Macaca fascicularis: one gene and its partner. The protein of the gene in region 2 interacts with the protein of the main gene of each other region in a biochemical or structural test. Links are inferred from orthologs where the notes say so. Each region holds a gene or a part of one and is shown on either strand. Other genes may lie near its edges. The genes, in order: EMD and LMNA.

What was found.
Region 1: the proteins of LMNA (region 2) and EMD form a complex in vitro, tested with the Homo sapiens proteins (4 studies listed by BioGRID and IntAct, with this or other methods). The link is inferred for Macaca fascicularis from reciprocal best matches to the Homo sapiens genes LMNA and EMD.

What each region holds. Positions count from the first base shown.
Region 1 is NC_088395.1:160,349,945-160,354,196, forward strand, and holds EMD (emerin), read right to left. Parts: upstream 2,908-4,252; 5' UTR 2,756-2,907; coding exon 2,674-2,755; intron 2,551-2,673; coding exon 2,446-2,550; intron 2,287-2,445; coding exon 2,209-2,286; intron 1,995-2,208; coding exon 1,861-1,994; intron 1,407-1,860; coding exon 1,357-1,406; intron 1,273-1,356; coding exon 948-1,272; 3' UTR 538-947; downstream 1-537. UniProt on the Homo sapiens protein: Stabilizes and promotes the formation of a nuclear actin cortical network. Stimulates actin polymerization in vitro by binding and stabilizing the pointed end of growing filaments. Inhibits beta-catenin activity by preventing its accumulation in the nucleus.
Region 2 is NC_088375.1:104,945,534-104,949,337, forward strand, and holds part of LMNA (lamin), read right to left. Parts: intron 3,517-3,804; coding exon 3,360-3,516; intron 1-3,359.

The DNA of each region.
Region 1 (4,252 bases), on a different chromosome or scaffold from region 2:
TGCTCTGTCACCCAGGCTGGAGTGCAGTGGTGCGATCTCAGCTCACTGCAAGCTCCGCCTCCCGGGTTCCCGCCATTCTCCTGCCTCAGCCTCCCGAGTAGCTGGGACTACAGGCGCCCACCACCTCGCCTGGCTACTTTTTTGTATTTTTAGTAGAGACGGGGTTTCACTGTGTTAGCCAGTATGGTCTCAATCTCCTGACCTCGTGATCCGCCCGCCTCGGCCTCCCAAAGTGCTGGGATTACAGGCTTGAGCCACTGCGCCCGGCTGCTTTGCCTGAATTTCTAAGTGGGTTCTCTGTATACGCCTTGTTGTACCACAATTATATGTATAAGCAGTTACAGGTGCTTTGGGGAATGAGTTAGGGAATAAAACTCCCAAACAAAACACAAACATCTCTGGGTAGCATTTGATTCCTATCCCCAGACCAAAGCAAAAATGCGGACCCAACAAAGCCAGATTGCAATCCTCGAGTCCCAAGACGCAGAGGCCCTTGCCATGGGAGCCCAACCCTCTCCTCCAGGAAGAGCCAACGCATTAAAAATAAATGGGGTTTTTATTGTGTGTCCACGAAAACAAAGGGTGGCCTTTGGTTAATCCCCCCCAACAAGATGACAAAAAGGAGGCATGCATGACAACAAGAACCATGTTCTCCTCTGACTGAGCGAGGCCTTGCCCTCCTGGACCCTAAGGGTTACAGGCAAGCAGGGCCAGGAGGCTGCCGAGGAAAGCACACTCAGGCCCCCATGGAGGGCCTGAATCTGCTGCCTCCCTGGTGGGACAAGGCAGGGGGAGCAAGCACTACTCTGGGCTAGGCCCAGCGCCCCCCAAGCAAGAACACATAAAAGCCCCTGCCCCTGCCCCTGCCCCCACACCCACCCCCACCCCCACTGCTAAGGCAGTCAGCCAGGACTTCCCCAGAAGACCTGGCTCTGAAGCCCAGACCCTCATGGCTCCCTCTGGAAAGGGTTGCCTTCCTCAGCCTGCATGAAGTAGTAAATGAAAAAGAGGACGATCACAAAGACCAGGAAAAGCAGCAGCTGGCCCCAGAGTGGGACCTGGTGATCCTGGCCCAGCCCAGCCCCAGGAGCATGGTTTTCAGGCCGGATGGCACGGCGGGTGAGCCATGAAGAGGAAGATGATGAGGACATAGAAGAGGTGGAGGAGGAAGTAGGATAATAGGACAGGTCCAGGGAGCTCCTGGAGGCTGAAACAGGGCGGTAGTGCGTGATGCTCTGGTAGGCACTGTCCCGGCCGTACATGGGGCGTTCCCTGAGGCAAAAGAGGGGAGCAGGTGGGCCAGGAGCCTGGGTCCAGAACCAGCCCCTGTCCCTGGCCTTCCCCATACATACATACCTATCCTTGCACTCCTCTTCAGAAGACGACAAAAGGTCGTCATCACGTACCTGTAGAAGAGAGTCAAGGTGAGGGAACTGGCTGGCAGGGCCACAATGGCCCTGCCACGTCCCTCTCAAATTTCCCCAGCAGGTCCCCTCTGACCTTTGGTTAAAGGCCAGGGACCCACACCCTCCTGAATGACTCTGGGTGTTCGGCCTTTTATCCATGGGGCCTTGCTACTTGTGCTCATGCCCCAGCATCCCCCTTTGCCCCCAGGACTCTCAGGAAGAGCTGGAGCCTAGATCCCAGACCAGGGTGCAGGACGCATCCTATGTGCTCTAGTCACATAGTTCTGAGGGCTCCCCAAAGTAGGACCCTGACCAAACAGGTGTCTGCTGAGCCAAAGTCTCCCCAGAGGCCCAAGGGCCACCATTTGTACCCAGTGGCCCCCTGGATTTATCCAAACACAGCCGCGATCCCCTAGGTTGTACCCAAGTACAGTACGCCTGCCAGCCAGCTCACCTGGTGGTGGAAAGTGTCAGCATCTGGGAGTGAAGTCACAGACTGGCGGAAGCCCCTGGACGGGCCCGCAGACTCGGGCTCCCCATAAGTCCTGGTAGTGAAGTAGCTCTCTTCATAGTAGTCGTCATTGTAGCCTTGGGAAGGGGGGCAGCGGTAGCAGAGGGGGCATCGGTGTGCCCCGCCTGGCCCGATGGCCCTAATCTGAATCCCATTTCGGGACCTGTGACAGTTTCTCCCTCCTAAGGCTGCTGGAGTGGTTGGGACTGAGGTCTCAGGTCCTCCCTGTGAGCGGGGTCCCTGACGCAGTCGGGTGAAGGTGCCAGCGTGCCCACCCAACCCCTGCCTTACCCTTGCTCTGGTAGAGTAAGGCGTCCTCTTTCTTGGGAAGATCATACATATCTGAATCCCCTGACGTCGAATTCAACTCTGGATTGAAAGGAGGAGACAGAACTGTTTGCCCCCCCACCCCCACCCCAAGGCTTCCCTCCCCTTTCCCCAGTGCCGCTCTCGACCGGCACCCCTGCCACACCCTCGCTACCTCATCCTCCCCGCGTCCCAGGCCGTCCCCACAGGCGAGGCTCTCACCAGAGAAGCGATAAGAGGAGGCAGCGGACGAGCCGGGGGGCGAGAGCCGCCGCCTCTGGGTCTCATACTCGAAGATCTTCTGCTCGTAAAGCCTACGAGTTGATCCTGGCCGGACACGGGGCGGTCAGGGCCGCAGTCCGGGGAAGGGGCGCGGGGAGGGCAGCGGGGAGGTCGCGGGGCGGAGCACGAGGAGGGGGCCCGGAAGGGGTCCCGCCCGCCGCCGCGTACCTACTACAGGCCCGTGCGGGATGTTGTACCGGCGCAGCAAGGCGGTCAGCTCGGTATTTGAAAGATCTGCGTAGTCGTCCATGGCGGGTGCGGGCTCGGGCGGAGGCCTGGCGGCGGCCCGGGCCTACCAAAACCGGCCGAGCAACGGCTGCCTAGGAGCACGGCGGGGGCGGCACGAGTGCATCGGGAGCGGCCGCACTCGCGTCACAGCCGAATCGCTGTCGCGTCACGGCCGCTGGCTCCGCAGGCTGCGCGCGCTGCGCTGGGCGGGACCAAACGGCGGGAGTAGCCGGCACAGACCGGCCGGGCCTTGAGAGCTGGGAGGCTGGGGCCGCGAGCCCAAACGTCATCAACTCACGGATTGGCTAGCGGCAGAGAGGGCGGGCCCCCGGGAGTCAGGGTGGTGGGAACCGGTCTCGCGGTGGGAGCGGGCGGGGCCGCAAGCCCATATGTCACAAACACGGGAATTGGCTAGTGATGGAGGGGGCGGGGCCCGCGCAGGCGCGGAGCAAAAGGTCTTGCGTTGGGAGCGAGCGGAGCGGAGAGCCCTTACGTCACAAACATGGGGATTGGCTAGCGATGGAGGAGGCGGGGCCCGCGCGGGCGCGGGGCAGAAGGTCTCGCGGTGGGAGCAAGCCGCGCCGCGAGGGGCGCCACACGTCACTAACGCACGGATTGGCTAGCGGCGTAGGCGGCGGGGCCCGCGCGGGAGTCAGGGCAATGCAAACTGGTATCGCAGTGGGAGTAGGCGGGGCTGCGGGCCCAAAAGTCACAAACGCACAGATTGGCTAGCGGCAGGGGGCGGGGCCCGCGCGGGAGTGAGGGCGACACGGCTGGGAGCCAAGACGTCACCCTGTGGCGCGCTTGAGCCAGCCGGGTGAGAGGGATGGGGCCTGCGCGCTAGGGACCCGGGACGTGCGAGCGGGCGAAGTCGGCGCTTGGGGTGGCTCTGGTCCCTAAGTCACTTGGACTTCGCCCGGTCCCTGCACATCCCTGCTCCCCGCCGTCGCCCCCCTTTCCTGGGCCCCAGAGCCTAGGGTTTCCCGGCCGCATCCCGGTCGGCCGCCCCGGCAGCGGACCCTAAGAGAGCGCGGGCCCGGGGCCAGGCACTGCCGGGGGCGCTTTGTGTGCGCATTGCTCGGGAAGCGGCTGCGGGGCAAGGCCCGCGCCTATGGGATCTCCGCAGACCCCCTGCCACGGGCCCTTCTTCCCAGTCTGCAGGGCTCTCGCCCGCGCACATGTGCCTGCTGCTTCCCACCGCCTACCTCTCTGCTTCCCTTCCTCCTCCCTCACTCTACCCGGGAGGAAATGGGGCACTGGGCCAGGAGGCCGCTGGCACTCCAGAAGCAAGCAGCCTTCGAAGGGGCCCGGGCATGCCGACGGGCACGCCAGTGGGCGCGGGCAGAGGGCGCCGTGCGATGCGTACAGAGACAACGTGTGCCCGCCTAATCCTTCATGCCGTTCATTCACCCGGGGCACTGGGGGGAGCTGCAGCGGGGCGTCCTCTCCTGTCGGAATAGTCCCTGAGCGCAGCGTGTCTGGGCAGGGGGCAGACGTCGGTGATGAGCTATGGAAGGCT
Region 2 (3,804 bases):
GCACTACTGCACTCAAGCCAGGGCAACTCAGCGAGACTCTGTCTCAAAAAAAAGAAAAGAAAAGATATATGCCCCCCCAACCACAGGACTCCCTTCTCTGGCACAACATAGCAAATGCTATAAAGGAGGTATGTGCAAAGTACTGAGGGGACATGAGAGAAGAAACCAAAGTAAGCCTGGGGTAGTTGTGGGGGGCTCTGGGAAGGCCTCCAAGAGGCTAAGACCCAAGGGACAGGCTAGCAGGGCCTACAGAGAGTTACTGTCATGACTTCAAGGGCAGAAACAAGCATGTACAGACACAGAGGTATGAAGGCATGCATGTTCTGGGGTCTTTGGAAAGATCAGTCCTGCTGAAGCCTGAAGTATGGGGTGGGAAGGGATGGGAGAGGTGGCTGGGTCAGTAGGCAGGGGCTGGCACATGAAGAGATGCCCTTATCTGCCATGAAAAGAACCTGAGGATGTTTGAGCAGGGGAGCACCAGGCTTAGATTTTCTTTTCTTCTTTTTTTATTTATTTATTTATTTTTATTTTTTATTTTTTATTTATTTATTTTATTTATTTATTTATTTATTTTTTGAGACGGAGTCTCGCTGTGTCTCCCAGGCTGGAGTGCAGTGGCGTGATCTCGGCTCACTGCAAGCTCCGCCTCCCGGGTTCACGCCATTCTCCCGCCTCAGCCTCCCAAGTAGCTGAGACTACAGGCGCCCGCCACCACGCCCGGCTAGTTTTTTGTATTTTTAGTAGAGACGGGGTTTCACCATGTTAGCCAGGATAGTCTCGATCTCCTGACCTCGTGATCCACCCGCCTCAGCCTCCCAAAGTGCTGGGATTACAGGCTTGAGCCACCGTGCCCGGCCTTTTATTTATTTTTTTTGAGACGGAGTCTTGCTCTGTCACCCAGGCTGGAGTGCAATGGTGCGATCTCGGCTCACTGCAAGCTCCGCCTCCCAGGTTCACGCCATTCTCCTGCCTCAGCCTCCCGACTAGCTGGGACTAAGGGCACCTGCCACCAGGCCTGGCTAATTTTTTGTATTTTTAGTAGAGACGGGGTTTCACCGTGTTAGCCAGGATGGTCTCGATCTCCTGACCTTGGGATCTGCTGGCCTCTCAAAGTGTTGGGATTACAGGCGTGAGCCACCGCACCTGGCCTCTTTTTTTTTTTTTGAGACAGAGTCTCACTCTGTCGCCAGGCAAGACATGCAGTGGCGCAATCTCGGCTCATTGCAACCTCCACGTCCCAGGTTCAAGCGATTCTCCTGCCTCAGCTTCCCAAGTAGCTGGGACTACAGGCACGCGCCATCACACCCAGCTGATTTTTGTATTTTTAGTAGAGACGGGGTTTCACCATGCTGGCCAGGATGGTCTCGATCTCTTGACCTCGTGATCCGCCCAGCCGTATGCTTAGATTTTCATTTAAGAAAGCACAGGCTGGGCTAAGTGTGGTGGCTCATGCCTATAATCCCAGCACATTGGGAGACTGAGGCAGGAAGAACTCTCATGGCCAGGAGTTCAAGACCAGCCTCAACAACATAGAGAAAACACGTTTTGCCGGGCGTGGTGGCTCACACCTGTAATCCCAGCACTTTGGGAGGCCGAGGCGGGCAGAACACCTGAGGTCAGGAGTTCAAGACCAGCCTGGCCAACATGGTGAAACCCCATCTCTACTAAAAATACAAAAAGCAGCTGGGCGTGGTGGTGGGCACCTCTAATCCCAGCTACTCAGGAGGCTGAGGCAGGAGAATGGCTTGAACCCGGGAGACGGAGGTTACAGTGAGCCGAGATTGTGCCATTGCACTCCAGCCTGGGTGACAGAGTAAGACTCCGTCTCGAAAGAAAAGACAGAGAGAGAGAGAACATGTCTCTATTTATAAAGAAAACAGGGCGGCCAGGCGCGGTGGCTCAAGCCTGTAATCCCAGCACTTTGGGAAGCTGAGACGGGCGGATCACGAGGTCAGGAGATCGAGACCATCCTGGCTAACACGGTGAAACCCCGTCTCTACTAAAAAATACAAAAAAACTAGCCGGGCGAGGTGGTGGGCACCTGTAGTCCCAGCTGCTCGGGAGGCTGAGGCAGGAGAATGGCGTGAACCCGGGAGGCGGAGCTTGCAGTGAGCCAAGATCGCACCACTGCACTCCAGCCTGGGCGACAGAGCAAGACTCTGCCTCAAAAAAAAAAAAGAAAGAAAGAAAAAGAAAAACAGGGCAAGGAAGCACAGGCTGATCAGTGCATCCAGGAAGGGCTGGGGGAGGGGTACAACTGGGAGGCAGCAGACCAGACCCAGGAGGAAGGTGGCCCAGCCTTGGTTTGGTGGCTTCTCCGGGTCTTTCCCTGGTACACTGTGATGTTAGGGCCTGGGAAGGGAAAGAACCCAGGATGGAAATTTGGCCACTGACTCTCATCCTGGCCCCGCTATGAACAGATGAGACTGTGAAATAAACTGCTTTTTTGATTCCTAGCTTTTATTTATTATTTATTATTTATTTTTATTTTTTTAATTTTTTGAGATGGAGTCTCGCTCTGTCACCTAGGCTGGAGTGCAGTGACCCGATCTCGGCTCATTGCAACCTCCACCTCCCGGGTTCAAGCGATTCTCCTGCCTCAGCCTCCCAAGTAGCTGGGATTACAGGTGGGATTACTGGTCTCCAACTCCTGACCTCAAATGACCCACCCGCCTCGGCCTCCCAAAGCGCTAGGATCATAGGCATGAGCCACCACGCCTGGCCCAATTCCTAGCTTTTAACACGATAAACTGGAGAAGAGTGTTTTGAAAGTAAAGGCCACTATATATACACAAAGCATTATTAACACATGTCCCATATGTAATTAGCCATCCACTTCTTTTTTTTTTTTTTTTTTTTTTTTGAGACGGAGTCTCGCTCTGTCGCCCAGGCTGGAGTGCAGTGGCGCGATCTCAGCTCACTGCAAGCTCCACCTCCCAGGTTCATGCCATTCTCCTGCCTCAGCCTCCCAAGTAGCTGGGACTACAGGCGCCTGCCATCACGTCCGGCTAATTTTTTGTATTTTTAGTAGAGATGGGTTTCACCGTGTTAGCCAGGATGGTCTCGATCTCCTGACCTCGTGATCTGTCCGCCTCAGCCTCCCAAAGTGCTGGGATTACAGGTGTGAGCCACCACGCCTGGCCTCCTGGATTATTTTAAATTCACTGTGGTAGATCCCATGGGCAGTCAAATTAGGATAAGATGTGGCCTCAGTGGCTGAAATGACTCTAGGACAGGTGAATGGCTCTGAAATCAGGTGGCAGGTCAGACCAGGCACCACATGGGGGAGGGCCTAGGTAGAAGAGTGAGTGTACATGTGTTAGGTAGGGCCATGGGCAGGCCCTGCAGGGTGGCCTCACCTTGGCCACCTGGCCCCGCAGATCATGCAGCTCGCCCTCCAGCGTGCGCTTCTCACTGAGAGCAGTGCTCAGTGCGGCCTCCTTGGAATTGAGCAGAGCCTCCAAGTCCTTCAGCCGAGCCTGAGCAGCCATCAGGTCACCCTCCTTCTTGGTATTGCTAAAGAAGAGAGGGGAGAGTGGATTTAAGAGAAGGAATCTGCGTGCCTAGACAGTGCCAGGCTCCCAAGAGGTCAACCATGGGGGCTGGCGCTGCTGTCCCTGCAACTACCAGGAGAGGGCATCCTTGCATTAGGTTGGTTTGCATCTGCTTGCCTCTGGGGCTGGGCTCCCACCTCCCCAAGGTCTCTGAAAACCCCCTTCCTGCTTCTCCACCCTTCCCATGAGTCAGGGCTCAGGAACGTGCCTGGGGCCAAGGGCAGAGCTCTACCCCGTGATATGAATGCTT